2 linked regions of the Arabidopsis thaliana genome follow. The protein of the gene in region 1 purifies or fractionates together with the protein of each later gene. This does not show direct contact. Each region holds a gene or a part of one and is shown on either strand. Other genes may lie near its edges.

Region 1 (10,601 bases):
ATTGTCTCTCGTAATTTTGAGACCTCCTCCTGCAAACTTTTAATTGATGCAGCCGAGGAGAGATTGAGCTCATTGAGGCTTTTGCTCTGGTCTTTGGCTTCCTGAACTTCCTCCTGTAAACCATTGTTACGGGCTTCCATATCTTTCAGGATTTGAGACCTGTTTTGCAGTTCCAATGCCAAAGTGCTTAGTTCCTCCTGAGACTGAGAGTGTAACTGTTGTAGGGTTTGAAAGGCAGTCTCAGCTTCCATAAAACGCAAGTTTTCTTCTTGTACACAAGTCCACAATCTTCCCAACTCTTTCTGTTTCTCCGTGAGCTCATGACTTTGATTCCCCAGTTTCTCTAGTAGACCATCCAGTTCAGAGTGAAGATTTTGATTTGATCTCTCAAGCACAACACATTTTTCCTCTGCAAATTTTAACTTAGCAACTCCATCCTCTATTTCACGGCTGAGCCTTTGAGTTTCTTCTTGAGCATGAAACAGCTTGAGCTTTAAATCTGCAATTGTGTCCAGACATTGTTGGTATTGGAGTTCGTAAGCTTCATTCTCTTCAATTAATTTGGAAACCTTTTGCTTCAAGCTTTCAACTTCACCCTCAGCATTTTCTGCCCGCTGATTGGTTAACCTTGAATCTTCCTCAGCCTTGTGCAACCTCTCTTCCAGGTTAGATATGGTTTTCAAGCATTGTTGATATTGAACAAGAGCAGCTTCCTTGTCAGTTTCGGAACTAACAAGGCTTTGCTTCAGTGCTAGAGTTTCAGCTTCGGCTCTGTTGGCTCGCTCATCTACTTCTCCAGCCTCCTTCTGGGCTAGAGAAATGCGATCCTCCAAATCAGCTATGTTTTGCAGACATTGCTGATACTGAAGAAGGCTGGACTCCTTTTCAACCTCTACTTTGCTGAGGGATTCTCTGAGCGTTTCGACCTCAGCTTCGGCTCTTGTGGCTCGTTCAATAAGCACCCTAGAGTCCTCTTGTGCACGAGATACCTCAGACTCCAAATTAGACAGTTTCTCCAAATTCTGATCAAACTGAGCTAAGCTAGCTTCCTTTTCAGCCTGCACTTTAGAAAGAGCATCTTTTAAAGCCACAATTTCAGCCTCAGCTTTGCTTGCGCGTTCAGATTCTGAAAGAACCTTAGCATTTATTTCTTTTCCATCAACATTATTGAAATTCAGTCCTTTCCTTGCCTTTGCAGTTTTAAAACCTTTCCCGCTACTCACAGACTGAGGGTCTTCCATGAAGGCTATATTGCGCTTAACGGTACTCAAATGAGAGGAAGAAATCCCAAAAGCACCTTTTCGTAAATCATCTGGGTAAACAGGAGCTCGGATAGGTGGATAACTGTCAGGCGTTTGTGGATCAAAACCATCGGTGGAAGAACCGAGAGGTGACTCCTCACCAAACATCATAGGGTCTTGGTTTGGGAAGGCTTCAGCCATAGTCTGCTGAGCATGACGAATAACACCGGTGGCATGATCGTATCTTTCAGCCAAAGCACGATATGCTCGATAAAACTCCTCAACCAGTTTCATAAGCTCAGGCCGCTTCTTGTAATACATTTCCGCTCGCCTAGCAAAAGAGTCAGCATCTTCTTCAATAACCTTGATCATTTGCTTGACTTTACTATCCATATCTGTCAACAAAAATAGAAACATGTAAGCAGATCGCATACAAAGTATCTTGCATGACACAAAACTGAACTAAAAGTAAAAGAAATTTGTCACGATGGAAATGACCTTTCCCGTGGGAAATACAAGGGACGTTAAAACAAGAAAATCACATACCTGTAAGATTCTCCTGAAGCCATTTCGAGTTCTTGGGGCTTATGTGACTATCCCACCACCAAGAATAGCGTTTAGAGTTACCATTCACAACAGCAGTCATTTTTCCCGGCAAAATCACACAAAAATTATGAGGATATTAGAACACTCCGGAACCAAGTCTCTCTCAAAGCCAAGTACACCAAATTCCTCTGTAAAAAAATCCTAACTTAAGAAGACGAAGAAGAAGAAGAAAATAGCAAGGGTTAAGCTTTGATAATAATGAACAAGTTCAACAGTCATATAAAAGACAAATACAGAAGAAAACAAAAGAAAAAATAGAAACGAATTACCACTAAGTCAATGAAGGCCAAATTCGAGACAAAAATAATTAACTAGCCAAATCCAGTAGTAACCTGGTCAGAAAACATATCAAACAATTCATTACAGATGAAAAATTGGATCAGCATAAATCAATTCGTCTTTGGAAATTAGACGAGAATCCTAGGGAAGAATAGCAAGTGAAACCACATGATCTTACAGGAATTAGAGGTTATAGTAACGCACTTAGTCGGAAACTGAAATTAGCTACACAGGTTAAATCTACAAAGCGAATCTAACACTAGTGAAATCAGGTCCAAAAGCAAGAATTCTGTGAGGCTTACCGGAAATAATACTTGTACTACAAAAATCAGAAATCTTCGGATCAGCTTTCGCTTTCACTTCTTCTTCTTCTTCTTCTTCTCATCTCATTTTCTTCATCTAGATCTCTCTCTCTTTCTCTCTCCAGGCGTTTTTCAGCTCTGGTTCCTACTTTTTACGTTGTGAAGAAGAAGAATTGTTTAGGTAAGCTTTTAAATGACGATATTACCCTCCAGTACAGTTCTCACAGATGTTCTGTTTCATTATTTTAATTCACTTGTTGCGTGACTTTGCCTCCTTGGGATCGCCTTCGCTGCCAACTTAAAAAAAAACACGACTTTCATGTCCGAAAGAAAATATTCTTTTATCGAACTACAACTAAATACAGTATGACATTTTATTTGATTTCTTTATTTTTCAATCTGATACTTCCCATTTACCCCTGATTTATATCAAGTCTGCAGTTCACTTTTTCTTTTTCTATACCTGTCTGCTCAAGAACTAAAATGATTTTGTAATTTTAATACATTTTATTATCCGGAATAACAAAGTATTAAATCACGAAAGATGATTTAAAAAAAAAAAAAAAGTATTAAATACTAGTAATGATAAGGAGGCTGACAAGAGATAAGTGACAAAGACAGGGAGGTCTTGGACGGTGAGCTCTCGGTCCACTTTCGTCACCCTTTGTTTTTTTCTCCACGTTCGCTTTTAGATTCGACTTATTGCGATCTTGCGTGTCAAACTTTTTCCAATCATCTAAAAGTTGAGTCGGAGTTAGAGTTACGTTGTTCATAACTTTTATTTAAACTTTGCAAGAAAAAAGTATATACGATATATGGTGGCTTATCGTTATGTATCATTTCATTCAGCTTTCTAAAATTTATAATTTAAAAAATAATATTATAATTAAGATTAAAAACGATAAATTCAAATTTAATTGACTGAGAATGTTTTTGGTGTTTGGTATGCATTACTTGTTTGACACAACTTATATATCATCCTTTATTTGTTACTCAAACGAAGATTCACGAAACGGACAAATAAACTATCCACCTATTGGGAACAAATAGGTTGTCTGACTTTTAAGCATCACAAACGGTTATATACTATTTTACATAAACGTTTCGAGTGTGTTAAGATTCATTTAATTGTAAACTAAATAATCAACAGCGTGACTTCAAATCAAATTGTCTTCTTATAAGTTTATTACTAACATATATTCTTGTTCAGTTTGTTGCCAATATTGAATTAATTAAAAGGATTGTGTATATTTTCCTTAATTGTATTGTTTTTTTTGTCGGTTATAGAAATGCAAAACAAAAAGAAATGAATAGAGGAGTCAACACTCAACAGCCACTACCTAACAAACACTTTTAATAGTTCCAGCTCGTATCGTTTTTCATGCCTCCAAAGATTAATTATGATTTTCAAAATCATTTATAACTATCCCTCCACATGTCTTTAATAGTCAAATTGATCTTATATTAAAAACTCTATATAGTAAGACCAAGTGAATTTTAAAATTACATCAATGCGATTTATATGGATGATTCAAAAGTATTTATATTTCAAAACTGAAACAAGGCCTTGCAGCCTTTCTTAATGCTTCGTGCAGATAGGCCCATTAATAAAACAATAAAGCCCATACTTGTAAAATCAGGTAAAGACGCAACGCAAGCGGCACATCAGACACATATCCATTCCGACCAAACCATGATAAAGTATATGCCACGTCACTATTCATCGTCGATTAGTTTTTACGAAATTGACCAACATACCCTCGTTGTTTGGTTTTATCTACAACGCAGTTGCTGAGTCACACTTGTTTTCTTCACTCGGAAAATTCGAAAATCGAGATCAAATGTCGATGATGACGGTGTGGGCACTTCGACGGAATGTTCGTCGGAAAAATCACTCGATGCTCGTGAGATATATTTCCGGCTCCGCATCGATGAAGCCTAAGGAGCAATGTATTGAGAAGATTTTGGTGGCGAACAGAGGCGAGATTGCTTGCCGGATCATGAGAACGGCGAAGCGTTTAGGGATTCAGACCGTTGCGGTTTACAGTGACGCTGATAGAGATTCGCTCCATGTGAAATCTGCAGACGAAGCGGTACGGATTGGCCCGCCCTCGGCTAGACTTAGTTACCTCAGCGGTGTGACTATCATGGAGGCAGCGGCTCGGACTGGTGCACAGGTATGAGTTTTGATCCCCGAAAAAGAATAATCGTGTTCTTGTAGCTGATGTCTTCTTTGAATTATATAACTAGGCAATACACCCTGGCTATGGGTTCTTGTCAGAAAGTTCTGACTTTGCCCAACTCTGTGAGGATTCGGGTCTAACATTCATTGGACCTCCAGCATCTGCTATTAGAGACATGGGTGATAAAAGGTACCATTACAGGCCTCCTATTACGACTTGCTTCTTCTTTGCACAAGTTGTTATTTTATTCTCTCTTGAATAGTTTCTGAGGACATGTCCCTCATGTGTATTTATGAAGTGCATCCAAGAGAATTATGGGAGCTGCTGGAGTTCCTCTCGTGCCTGGATATCATGGCCATGAGCAAGATATTGATCATATGAAGTCAGAAGCTGAAAAGATTGGATACCCTATAATAATCAAGCCAACACATGGAGGTGGGGGGAAGGTATGTTATGATATACGGCATTGATTTTTTCCAATAGATGGCTTTTTGTAATAGTCAAAGTTTGATACCCTTTTAAAATCTATTGGTTTCGAAGCAAAGTAAGCTCTTGTTTTTTAGGGAATGAGGATAGTGCAAAGTGGGAAGGATTTTGCTGACTCGTTTTTGGGTGCCCAACGTGAAGCTGCTGCTTCTTTTGGCGTTAACACTATTCTTCTCGAGAAATACATTACTCGACCGAGGCATATAGAAGTCCAGGTAGTGAGTCGTGAAATTTCATGTTGTTTTTTTTTTCATGAAAGGCTGGTTATGGCGCATTGAAACCCAGTTATTGTATATAGAAAGAGGACAAATGTTAACCTTAACTTGTATTTCATTTTTGGCGTACTCATTGAGTAACCATTTCTGGCTTTTCTCCTTTTTTTCTAGCATTTTAACTAATTTTGCTTCGGTGTTTCCACTGCTTTTAGATATTTGGTGACAAACATGGAAATGTTCTTCATCTATACGAAAGGGATTGCAGTGTGCAAAGAAGACACCAAAAGATTATTGAAGAAGCTCCTGCGGTAATGACCATATTTCTTTCTGTTATTGATTCATATCTTTTCTAGCATAAATGGATGTGGGTCTGATTGAATACTGGTGCAGCCTAATATATCTGAAAAGTTCCGCGCAAACTTAGGCCAAGCTGCTGTCTCTGCGGCACGGGTATCCCTTTAAATCCTGCTTTCATCTTTTACAGATTTCATGGTCTTCAGTGAGAAAGCTTAGCCGAAAATGTTTCATTACAATGCTCTGTATATTGCATTCATTCATAGTATGCTCCGGGTGTCTCTATTTTATATAGTGCATTACTAATATTGATCATGAGTTATTTGATCAAAGTTTACTATTGTTAATGTTTAGTTCAATTGATATGTAGTCTTTTGAAACCTCTTCTTGCTAGGCTATCTTTCACTTCAACTTCCACAAGAAGCGCTTATATTCTGTTACCTTCTGATATTTAAAGGCAGTTGGATATTATAATGCTGGGACGGTGGAATTTATAGTTGACACCGAGTCTGATCAATTTTATTTTATGGAAATGAACACCCGTCTACAGGTGCTTCTTTGATCTATATGTTTATTAAATTTAACTCGATAAACATTTGGCTTTCCAAAGGAACACTGATGATCCTTCTTAGGTCGAACATCCTGTAACTGAGATGATTGTTGGTCAAGATCTTGTGGAATGGCAAATTCGGGTTGCCAATGGGGAACCTCTCCCCTTAAGCCAATCCGAGGTGCCAATGTCAGGTATGGCTCTTCCTCCTAAAAATAAATGGAAAATAGTGGTTTGGTTTACTCTCATTCGCTATTCCGTACTGAATCCATGATTTTTCAAGATGTTACTTGTGGCAGAAAAAAATCTGAACAACATGACCCACATATGTATCTTCTTGGCAGGTCATGCCTTTGAGGCCAGGATATATGCTGAAAACGTTCCAAAAGGATTTCTTCCTGCAACTGGGGTCCTCAATCATTATCGCCCTGTTGCAGTCTCACCATCAGGTGAAGTACAAAATTGTGTATACAACTGTTTTTTCCTATCTTATAGAAAGTTTTTTTTTCTCTCGTATATATCTGACCCTGTTTTTGTCCTGTTGTTTACCTCTCTCATGTTGGAATTTGTCTGAAACAGTTCGGGTTGAAACTGGAGTTGAGCAAGGAGACACTGTTAGCATGCACTATGATCCTATGATTGCAAAGCTTGTTGTCTGGGGAGGTAATCGTGGCGAAGCTTTAGTGAAACTGAAGGATTGCTTGTCTAACTTTCAGGTAGATTCCCTGAGAACCTGTATTTTGGAGCTCTCTGCAATTTTAATTATACCTCAGCATAACTATAAATCTTCAAGGCCTTATGGTTCCATTGTGAATTTCTTGAGAAACCTTTTTGAGTTTCTCGCACATCGCTTCTTAGTTACCACAATAGTTCAGTAATTACATGGTATGTTGTTGACAGGTAGCAGGTGTACCTACGAACATAAATTTCCTTCAAAAACTTGCTAGTCATAAGGAGTTTGCAGTGGGCAATGTAGAAACTCATTTTATTGAGCACCATAAAAGTGATCTATTTGCTGACGAAAGCAATCCAGCTGCAACAGAAGTGGCATACAAGGCAGTCAAGCATAGTGCAGCATTGGTGGCTGCTTGTATCTCCACAATCGAGCATTCTACTTGGAATGAAAGTAATCATGGTCAGTTCGCATGGGTCTAGTCTCTTCTTCACAACTTACATGATTCCCGAGCATGTCTTAATTTATTATGTGTAAACTCATCCAGGGAAAGTTCCATCGATATGGTATTCGAATCCTCCTTTTAGGGTCCATCATGAAGCCAAACAAACCATTGAGCTAGAATGGAATAATGAATGCGAGGGAACTGGCTCTAACCTCATATCACTCGGTGTAAGATATCAACCAGATGGAAGCTATCTCATTGAGGTTTAAAACTTCACATCCTCCTTTTAGATTCACTTTTAGACTCATATACTTCATTTATGAGTCTTATAATTGGAATTCTTATGGTTTGTCAACATTCCACGAGACAGGAAGGCAATGATTCTCCAAGTTTAGAACTCAGAGTAACACGAGCAGGAAAGTGCGATTTTAGAGTTGAAGCGGCCGGATTGAGCATGAATGTTAGTCTAGCTGCGTACTTGAAGGTAAATCATTAGCATTATGTTCAAGCAACTCTTAACAGCTCTCATACTCTTTCTGTCTCTCTCGTAATTGCTGCTTATGATGTATGTTTGGTTACAGGATGGTTATAAGCATATCCATATATGGCATGGTTCAGAACACCATCAGTTCAAGCAGAAGGTAGGAATCGAATTCTCTGAAGATGAAGAAGGTGTCCAACACAGAACCAGCTCCGAAACATCATCACACCCTCCAGGAACCATTGTGGCCCCCATGGCTGGTTTGGTAGTCAAGGTCCTTGTCGAAAACGAAGCCAAAGTAGATCAAGGTCAACCTATATTAGTCCTAGAGGCAATGAAGATGGAGGTTAGTATATAAACATCTTCATATACCATAATATAAGAAACATTTAAGTAATTATCGTTTTATTCTCGTTCAGCACGTTGTGAAAGCACCATCCTCTGGAAGCATACAGGACCTCAAAGTTAAAGCAGGCCAACAGGTTTCAGATGGCAGTGCTCTATTCAGGATCAAAGGTTAGTGGTAATTTAGTACCAGCATTTTTTCCTTTATACATTTCATATCATCCTTTTGAAAATTTCATCCAACTCCACCAATTTCAATATCTTTGCAGGGTAAATAACACGATTTGCGATTGATCAACCATTCGCTGGCTTACGCGAAACCTGAACTAATAAGCATTTGGGTGTGTATATAAACCGAAATCTTACAAAAGATAAATAAATCCAAAGCTTTATAAATGTTTTTACTGCCTCTATATAGATCTGTGCGGCTAGAGATTGAAGGTAACTTCTTAGTATACAAAATGGTGATTACATTAATAATCAAGATAGTCCGAGCCATTTCTTGAATACTAAACCAGCTTCTCTCTTCTTGAGCTGAGACTCGCTCTGAACTTTTGGAGCTTTGCCTTTATAAGCAGTCTTGTGATACTTCAAGAAGAGCATCCGATACTTGTACTTATCAACAAACATATTTTTTTTCTCCATCATCTCCACAACTTCATTAGCCCGGGAAAAAAACCCGCCTCTAACAAATGTATAAAGCACCGCATCAAGCAACTCCTGATCAAACTTCATCGATGAAGTAGCTGCAGCTATGGATTTCATTTCTCCCCATAACTCAGTGACCTCTGTGTATTTACTCCCAATGGCTGCATATCCTGTGACCATAGAATGAAAAGTTTGAGCATTTGGCGAATGCCCAAGACTTCTCATCCTCTTTAATGCCTTCTCTGCATCCTGCATCAAACCTTTCTTGCTAAAAAAATGGATCACATTGTTCCAATCATGAACACCAGCATCCAAACTCTGCACTTCTCTGATTTCTCTCAAGAGTTTTGACATGAGTCCCGCCTCTGCGTTTCCTTCACATCCCTTTAAGAGCTTCTCAAATTTCTGATTTCCGCCTCGTAGTATCTTCGCCTCTTTCATTTCCTTAAACACATTGAGAGCTCCATGAGTATCGTTCTGAATTACTTGAGACTGGATTAAAGCTTCATAACAGCTTGAGTCTAATTGAATCCCTGCCTTTTGAGCATCTCTAAGGAGTGATGTCACTTCTCTAGTTTGGTTTGTGTTGCAGTAAGCTTTGAGGAGCGAAGAATAAACCGAAGAACCAGTTCTTACCCCAGCCATACGCATCTCGTCGAGTAGATCATGCGCCTGATCCAACATGCCTAGAGAAATACATGCGTTGATAACATTAATCAGCATCGAGTTATCACTAGAAACAGGAGAGTCTTCATGTTCTGCCTTCAACAGAAACTTTGCTAACTCCTTCATCTTTCCACTTTCCAGGAATGCCTTTGCTAATTTCACATAAATCTCTTCCGTCGGCTGCAGAACACCGCGTTCCGAGGTAATCAATTCGACTTGTACATGCAACTTAGCCAACAATGCACCAAGAACATCCTTTGCCTCAGCTTCAAGTTTCAAAAACTTCCTGTCTCTAGAGAACTCATCATAGGGAATCATACTGTGAATAGAAACCACTCGAGTTTCGGGATTATCGTGTTCTTTAACCTCTGATCCTTTTCCAGATACTCTTTTGGTGTATAATCTACCATCATCTGCAGTATCAAATTCAAGAATGGCGGCTCCAAGTGAGTTCCTTGCTACCTTTCCTCTTCTTAGCATTTCCAAAACCATTTTCGAAGCAGATTCAAGATCCCCGAATTTTAAGTGACACATAAGCAAGCAGTTATAGAATTGCCAAAACTGAGACTCATTCAAGTTGCAAGCTTCATCTATATGCCTTTGAAGCTTCCTTAGTTCCTCTCTCCGCCCATTTCTTTCGTATATATGAGCCATTATTACTAACAAGTTAGCATCAGCTTTAACACCGATCTTCGGTATCATATCAAGAAGCTGTTCAGCTTTTCGGGTTGTCCCAAACAACAAACAACCCGCCAAAGCAACGTTCAACACCTGAGTATTAGGCTTCATCGCAAGCAAAGGTGCGTTGCTCTTCTTCCGTGGATCAACTCTGTTATTATGAAACAAATAACCAATCTCAAGAACCAACTCAGCAGAAAGATAACTTCCTGATCCCGCAAGAGACATATGAGCCAAAACCGCAGACCAAGCACTCACATGAGGATACTCTTCTGTCTCAACTAGCTTCCTCAAGATCGTTGATGCAGGAACAGCCATACCTGACTTGGCAAGAGCCAAGGAGAGATATAGAAGAGGTTCCTTCTCCAGCAAATTCTGTTTACCCTCCTCATAGGCTTGTTCCACTAAACTGTAACCCTTTTGTAGCCAGTTGGAATCAAGACTCTCAGCAAAACAAACCACAACATTGTTAACAACAGATTTTCGCGGAAACCCTTCCATTTGCATAT
Region 2 (6,945 bases), on another chromosome or scaffold:
GTTTTGTTGGAGTTTCACTCGTGGAAACCCTAGTACATCTGGAGATTCTCCCTTTGTTCCTCGAGCAGGATCGAGTTCAGGGATCCATGGTTTGCAGCCGAATCCCACTTGGGTTACTCCCCATAATCAATCAAGAATATCAGAAGTTGCTCCGTGGTCTTTATTTCCTAGTATCGAATCTGAATCTGCTACTCATGGTGCTTCTCTTCCATTACTACCCACAGGGCCTTCTGTTTCCTCGAATGAAGCTGCAGCGCCGTCTGGATCTAGTAGTCGTAGTCATCGCTCTCGACAAAGAAGATCGGGATTATTACTGGAAAGGCAAAATGATCATCTCCATTTGCGTCACTTAGGAAGAAGCTTAGCTGCTGATAATGATGGAAGGAACCGGCTGATTTCCGAGGTCTGTATGAACTCTTTAGCAGTTTTAGCTGATGTGGCATCTGTCTCAGTGGAAGTCAATTATTTGTTGATGGTATTTGCTGATACTAGTAATGTCAGTCACTCAGTTGGTACTCTCTTGTTTATTGGCAGATACGGCAGGTGTTGAGTGCCATGCGAAGAGGGGAGAATTTACGGTTTGAGGTATGATTTTGTCACATAACTGATTTCAATCATTCCCTCTTAATTACAGTTAACAGGTAAAATCACATCGCACTTTTTGCCTTCAAGTGTTAGTTTTAGATCTTCAGAATGTTGGTATACTATATGTGATCTCTGTCGACATCTAAGTTGTGTACCATCTTTTTAGCTGTATCGTATCTACTGCTGCTAATATAATTGGTCTCACATTGTAGTAAACGTAGTGAGAAGCAGCAATTCTCTATCAACATATCTTATTGGCATTTGTATAAACAAAACGTAGTGCAAGTTCATCCCCAATAGCATTTTATTTTTGGATCATGATTTTTCATTTGGTGATCTGATAGGATTATATGGTATTCGATCCACTGATCTACCAAGGTATGGCCGAGATGCATGATAGGCATCGGGATATGCGTCTTGATGTTGATAACATGTCATATGAGGTGAGTGTTCATTTTTCTTTTACCATTTTATCTCTATGTACCAATTTTTTTAAACATGGTTCGTTTGGGAATGTAGGAGCTATTGGCACTTGGGGAACGCATAGGAGATGTGAGCACTGGTCTAAGCGAAGAGGTGATCCTGAAAGTAATGAAACAGCACAAACATACATCATCCGCTGCTGGCTCTCACCAGGACATGGAGCCTTGCTGTGTCTGTCAGGTAAGACATGAAATTACTCTTACACCAAGGTCTTTTATGCGGCTCCTTGGACCTGTTTATTTGTCTCTTATGGCTGTTTGTTTGCAACAAATTCACTTCTTTACCGTAGTAGATGTGGTCAAGCCAAAACAGGAGTAATGTATTATCACGTAGATAGAAACCTGCCACAATTTATCACATTTTATCTTGACATTACACTAAACCGTCCATGTGTGTAACATGGGTTGGTTAGGTTCATCTATATTCCCATTTTTGAGCTGATACTCAGCTTTAACTCGGAAGCTGATGTGAAAACCTTGATGCATTTTTAACAGGAAGAGTATGCAGAAGGAGATGATCTTGGAACACTGGGATGTGGTCATGAATTTCACACTGCCTGCGTCAAGCAATGGCTGATGCTCAAGAATCTCTGCCCAATTTGTAAGACTGTGGCTTTATCGACATAAAAGCACCGTTCCTTCATCCTCGTCCTCTTTCCCTATCTCCTCCCAACCTATTGTGATCCTTGAAATGAAAGAAAAAAGGAGAAAAAGAGATCGCGTAAGAGGTCGCTTCTGTCTTACCCGCATTGATATCAAGAGAGAGTTGAAACAAGGAAGGGCCTGTGATGAATGATCGATCCTTGTGTGGAAGCATCATGTTGAATTACATAGGAGAAGAGAATAATAACTATCAATTGACTCAATCTTTTGAATTGTTGGATTATGATGATAAGTCATTGTTTATTGTCAGTCAACTCAAATCTGAGGTACCAATTCTGTATTTGAGAGTGTCATTGCTCTTTAGCTTTAATATTTTTCAGGTAATTTTTGTTGATTCGTTATCGTTTGATTGTTGCGGTAAATGAATTCTATTGTGAAAAAGGGAAAAAATGTATTTGGAAGAGACACGCTCGGTGGGGATCGAACCCACAATCGTCTGATTAGAAGTCAGACGCCTTATCCATTGGGCCACGAGCGCCTTTTTGTTGTTCGTTATCAATCAAATTAATTAGTAAATAAATTAAGTTTCGAACCAGTCAACGATCTGTTGTAGTTGGCCATATTTCTCCTCCATTGACAATCAACCAGTTTTGGTAGCTCATATACAAAAGTTTATACATTTATTTGAAAATGTTTATTGGTTAAAAGTTGTTTACATTCTAAAGACACCAAATCGAGTATCTTCTAAAGGACGGTTTAAAGCAGCAGAGAGACAAAGTCCCAAAACCTTTCTGGTATCACAAGGATCAATCACTCCATCATCCCAAAGTCTCGCCGTCGAGTAGTAAGGATTTGCCTCTCTCTCATACGCATCCACCGTTTTCTTCTTGAACGCTTCTTCCTCTTCCTCAGTCCACTGCATCACAAAGAAAAACGCAAATTCATCAATGTTGAACAAACAGAGTTGAAATCGGTTTAGAGAATGTTTTATTCAGTACCTTGATTCCTTGTCTCTTCTTGGTAGCCCTTTCAATCTGAGTTAAAACACCTGCAGCCTGCAAAGTTTTCGCCAAGCCAATAACAACGTCAAACAAAACCAAACTGAATTTTGTTCTGCTACACTAAGATTATAAACACATTTTGATTCAGTTTGGTTTCGGTTTAAACATTTCGGTGCATTCTGGTTTACCTGAGCGCCTCCCATGATGCCAATTCTGGCGTTTGGCCAAATGAACATAAAATCTGGACTGTATGCACGCCCACACATTGCATAGTTTCCAGCACCAAAGCTTGCACCCGTTATGATTGTAATCTTTGGTACCTGAATGAAGACCCGAGCTTAGAATCTGGCTTATCCTAATCAAATCTCTCAGACTCTTAACCAAGAATTAAACATACCTTAGCACAGGATACTGCCATCACCATTTTCGCTCCAGCTTTTGCAATGCCGTTGGCCTCAGCTCTAGAACCCACCTATAAGCAAAAACGGAGCAAGTAAGATAGATAGAGACACTCTTATATAGCCAAATGTGAGAACACAACACAAACACTACAATTACCATAAAGCCTGTGATGTTTTGGAGGAAAACAAGAGGAATTTTACGTTGAGAACATAATTCGATGAAGTGAGCTCCTTTTAGTGCAGATTCATTGAACAGTATGCCATTGTTCCCGATAATACCCACCGTCTGACCATAAATTCTAGCAAAACCAGTCACAAGCGTCTGCCAAAAAGAAGTTCCACATAAGAAAGTAAAAAGGTAACATTTGGATACAAAATAAGGCGAATAACATTATCTCACAGTGCCGTATTGTTTCTTGAACTCGTCAAATTCACTTCCATCAACAATCCGGGCAATAATAGACCGCACATCAAATTGCTGTTTGTGATCTACTGGAGCAATGGAGCGAAGCTCGTTTATGTCATAGAGCGGTTCCTTGTATACAAGATTTTTGCTTCCAAATGTTCCTTCCATCCCTTGTTTTGCAGCCATGTGCAAATTCTTGACAATGTTTCTTCCAATAGCGAGGCCATGTAGCTCGTCTGCAAGCTTAGAGCATCTTAAGGTCTAAACTCTAAAACACGATTATTGTTTTCATATTAAATTGCAGAAAGAGATGAATATATGTACCTTGAGCAAAATAATCTGACACACCGGACACAGTACAGTGAACAGTGGCGCCTCCTAAATCCTCAGCTGAAACTTCTTCTCCTGTAGCAGCCTGTTCAAAAGCTTTTTCATTTAGCGTTAGATTCTCAAGAAACTACTTAAGACTAGAACGAGAGAGAGAGAGAGAGAAAGTAACTTGAGAAAATTGACCTTGACAAGTGGCGGTCCTGCTAAAAATATGGTACCATTCCCTTTGACCATTACACTTTCATCAGCCATGGCAGGAATGTAGGCACCACCAGCAGTGCAGGAGCCTAAAACAATGGCGATTTGTGGAATTCCATCAGATGACATAACCGATTCGTTGTAGAAAACCCTACCAAAATTCTCCTTGTCAGGGAAAACCTCAGCCTGTTTTGGAAGGTAAGCACCACCACTATCAACAAGATATATGCAAGGAAGTCTGCACCGAGCAGCAATCTCTTGTGCTCTGAGATGTTTCTTGATAGTAATGGGATAATACGTCCCTCCTTTAACTGTAGGATCATTTGCCATAAACATACAAATACGTCCATGGATTGGTCCTATCCCTGTGATTATCCCACCTGAAGGCAAAGGCTCCTCATACAATTCATGTCCTGCAAGCTGCAAACATATTCATATCCAGTAAGCAGCAACATCAAACAAGTTTTTAATCAATGCCAATTCCCTAATCTTCTTTTGTTTTCCTAACTTATGCAAGTACTAATCAACAATAAACTCTAGATTGCAAATGTGCATTAAATCCAAACAAAGAAACAAAACAAAACCTGAGAGAGCTCCAAAAAGGAAGAACCAGGATCAAGTAGCCGATCAATCCTTTCTCTAGGCAAAAGCTTGTTTCTGCTTCTGTTCCTCTTAACCGCTTCCTCTCCACCTCCGGCCAATACCTACAAATCTCCACCGAGATACACTTATATCATTCATCTGCAAACAATTAAGACATCAATCGATAAATGAGATGGCTTTACCTTTTTGATATGGGAACGAAGCTCCGATAAGATCCCTTCCATGGCGATCGAATTGCTAGAAAAAGCCTCCGAATTTCTGTCGACTCCGTCCGGTAAAATGCCCACGCAGAAACCCTTTTGTAGTCCCCGGAAAGTTCGAAAAGGATCGGGACGAGAATCGGTTCCTGGTCGGATCCGCCATTGTTGAATACTAGTAAGCTCTTTCGAAGCTGAAACAACTCTTCTCCCCAAAATCCTTAACATTTTCGTCTCACTGTCTCTCGAAACCGATTTCACTTAAAAGACATATTTATACACACTGTTGTGACTGACTACTTGATTGTCTGTAATTCATATCTCAAACCAAAGAGAAAAGAGGAGATAAGCTCAAGGAAACAAAAATACTATTTTTATAAATCGTTTTCAAAATTCGTCTCATTTCTTTAGAGAATCGTGTGTGACAATCTCACAGTGGAAAGCAAAAAAAATGTTACATTTTCGACAAAAATTGGAGGAAAAAATTGAAGCTTTATCCAATCAAGCAATAAGACAACGATACGACGACGTTTTTAGCTTTCTTCAAGAAGTGTATACTAGTAGATAAGACGCAACTCACTCTCCGTCTAGCGGCGGGATTATCAGACTGCTGCATTAGCTATCGTCAATGGGGTCTTTAGGATATTCGATTTCAATGATAGCTTCGCTGAGTCCAACTTTGATGGAGTCAAGGCTTATCTCTTCGATGGGTTGTGTCTCGATGACTGTTGCTCCTAGTTTTTCTTCAGTCTCTGTAGTTTCTTCTTCACTAGGGACAACAAGGAGGGACCGAACTTTAAAGCTTAGATCTTCCATGTCTCCGGGTATGGTAACAACGCTAGATTCCGATGTTGGCGTCGGGTCTTCTGCAACTACTAAAAAGGTTTCTCCTTTTTTCTTGTTATCTATAACTAAAATTGTCCAGCTTGTTTGTGTAGAGAGATTGAGATTGGAGATAACTGAGAAACTATGTAGGTGCTTGTTCCAATTGGATATGGGACGGAGGAAATAGAAGCTGTTGTGTTAGTTGATGTTTTACGGCGAGCTGGTGCTGATGTTACTGTTGCTTCTGTGGAGCAGAAGCTAGAGGTTGAAGGATCCTCAGGGACCAGATTGCTTGCTGATGTTCTTATCTCGAAATGTGCTGATCAAGTTTATGATTTAGTTGCTTTGCCGGTAAGTTCCTCTTTTGCTGATTCATAAACTATAAGTGAGGACAGTCTTTGAGCTTTACTTTAATGGTTTTGTGTATTTGTTTCTGGATGGTCTGGAAATACAAATTGTGAAGGGAGGCATGCCTGGTGCTGTTAGGTTAAGAGACTGTGAAATTCTCGAGAAGATCATGAAGAGACAAGCTGAAGATAAGCGGTTATACGGGGCTATATCCATGGCTCCAGCTATTACTCTTCTTCCATGGGGACTTTTGACAAGAAAGAGGGTATAAATCAAAATCTTTGATGTCATCTAGTAACTAATCTTTTCTCTTCATGTTTTGATTTCTAAACTTGGTGTAGTTCATCGTGCAAGACAACGGGACATCCTGCTTTTTTCGGGAAGCTTCCTACATTCTGGGCTGTTAAGACAAACATTCAGATTTCAGGGGAGCTTACAACTAGCCGTGGACCCGGCACTTCTTTCCAGTTTGCTCTTTCCTTGGCGGAGCAGCTCTTCGGAGAAACCACAGCCAAGTCAATTGAAGAGTTTCTGGTCTATATCCTATTCACTTATACTTTTCTGGATCATGCTTTTCTTTATCCTTCTCGATATGCAACAATCTTCTCATAGTCTTCTTTTCCAATCATTTCTCCAGCTTCTGCGTGATGGTTACCAGAATCCTAAGAACAAAGAGTTCAATAGCATTGACTGGTCTTTAGACCACACACCTCGTGTAAGTCGCATGAAGCTATGATCAATGCATTTCCATGTAATCTCATGATATATGATGAGAACTGATCTTGGTTTTATCTTCTATACCTATGGAGTTTTTTCTTTTATCCATTCCTTCTCCTTTCACGCTCAGTTAGTTTTGAAAGATGAAAAAGTTAGCTGATTCTAAGAACATTTCATTTTAGTTTGAAAGCTGAGAAACTTGTTTTAATGATGCATCTAAATCCAGGTTCTTATCCCGGTAGCCAACGG

What was found. The genes of interacting proteins can lie anywhere in the genome.
Region 2: the proteins of MCCA (region 1) and MCCB fractionate together in Arabidopsis thaliana (co-fractionation; one large-scale study listed by BioGRID). This does not show direct contact.

What each region holds. Positions count from the first base shown.
Region 1 is NC_003070.9:735,446-746,046, forward strand, and holds MCCA (methylcrotonyl-CoA carboxylase alpha chain), read left to right. Parts: upstream 1-4,098; 5' UTR 4,099-4,269; coding exon 4,270-4,605; intron 4,606-4,678; coding exon 4,679-4,800; intron 4,801-4,909; coding exon 4,910-5,057; intron 5,058-5,174; coding exon 5,175-5,312; intron 5,313-5,524; coding exon 5,525-5,620; intron 5,621-5,702; coding exon 5,703-5,762; intron 5,763-6,063; coding exon 6,064-6,156; intron 6,157-6,238; coding exon 6,239-6,350; intron 6,351-6,500; coding exon 6,501-6,605; intron 6,606-6,735; coding exon 6,736-6,872; exon of another isoform or gene 6,873-7,056; coding exon 7,057-7,291; intron 7,292-7,376; coding exon 7,377-7,537; intron 7,538-7,644; coding exon 7,645-7,758; intron 7,759-7,855; coding exon 7,856-8,101; intron 8,102-8,174; coding exon 8,175-8,271; intron 8,272-8,369; coding exon 8,370-8,374; 3' UTR 8,375-8,580; downstream 8,581-10,601. Other genes in the region: NET1D (kinase interacting (KIP1-like) family protein), read right to left, coding at 1-1,636, 1,788-1,887; AT1G03100 (Pentatricopeptide repeat (PPR) superfamily protein), read right to left, coding at 8,581-10,601. UniProt on the Arabidopsis thaliana protein: Biotin-attachment subunit of the 3-methylcrotonyl-CoA carboxylase, an enzyme that catalyzes the conversion of 3-methylcrotonyl-CoA to 3-methylglutaconyl-CoA, a critical step for leucine and isovaleric acid catabolism.
Region 2 is NC_003075.7:16,299,387-16,306,331, reverse strand, and holds MCCB (3-methylcrotonyl-CoA carboxylase), read right to left. Parts: upstream 5,306-6,945; 5' UTR 5,035-5,305; coding exon 4,792-5,034; intron 4,711-4,791; coding exon 4,591-4,710; intron 4,427-4,590; coding exon 3,992-4,426; intron 3,894-3,991; coding exon 3,803-3,893; intron 3,715-3,802; coding exon 3,473-3,714; intron 3,395-3,472; coding exon 3,230-3,394; intron 3,144-3,229; coding exon 3,069-3,143; intron 2,992-3,068; coding exon 2,860-2,991; intron 2,726-2,859; coding exon 2,669-2,725; intron 2,587-2,668; coding exon 2,383-2,586; 3' UTR 2,233-2,382; downstream 1-2,232. Other genes in the region: MBR2 (RING/U-box superfamily protein), read left to right, coding at 1-403, 535-585, 930-1,028, 1,105-1,248, 1,563-1,694; DJ1C (Class I glutamine amidotransferase-like superfamily protein), read left to right, coding at 5,435-5,689, 5,782-5,982, 6,095-6,244, 6,334-6,513, 6,617-6,694, 6,923-6,945. UniProt on the Arabidopsis thaliana protein: Carboxyltransferase subunit of the 3-methylcrotonyl-CoA carboxylase, an enzyme that catalyzes the conversion of 3-methylcrotonyl-CoA to 3-methylglutaconyl-CoA, a critical step for leucine and isovaleric acid catabolism.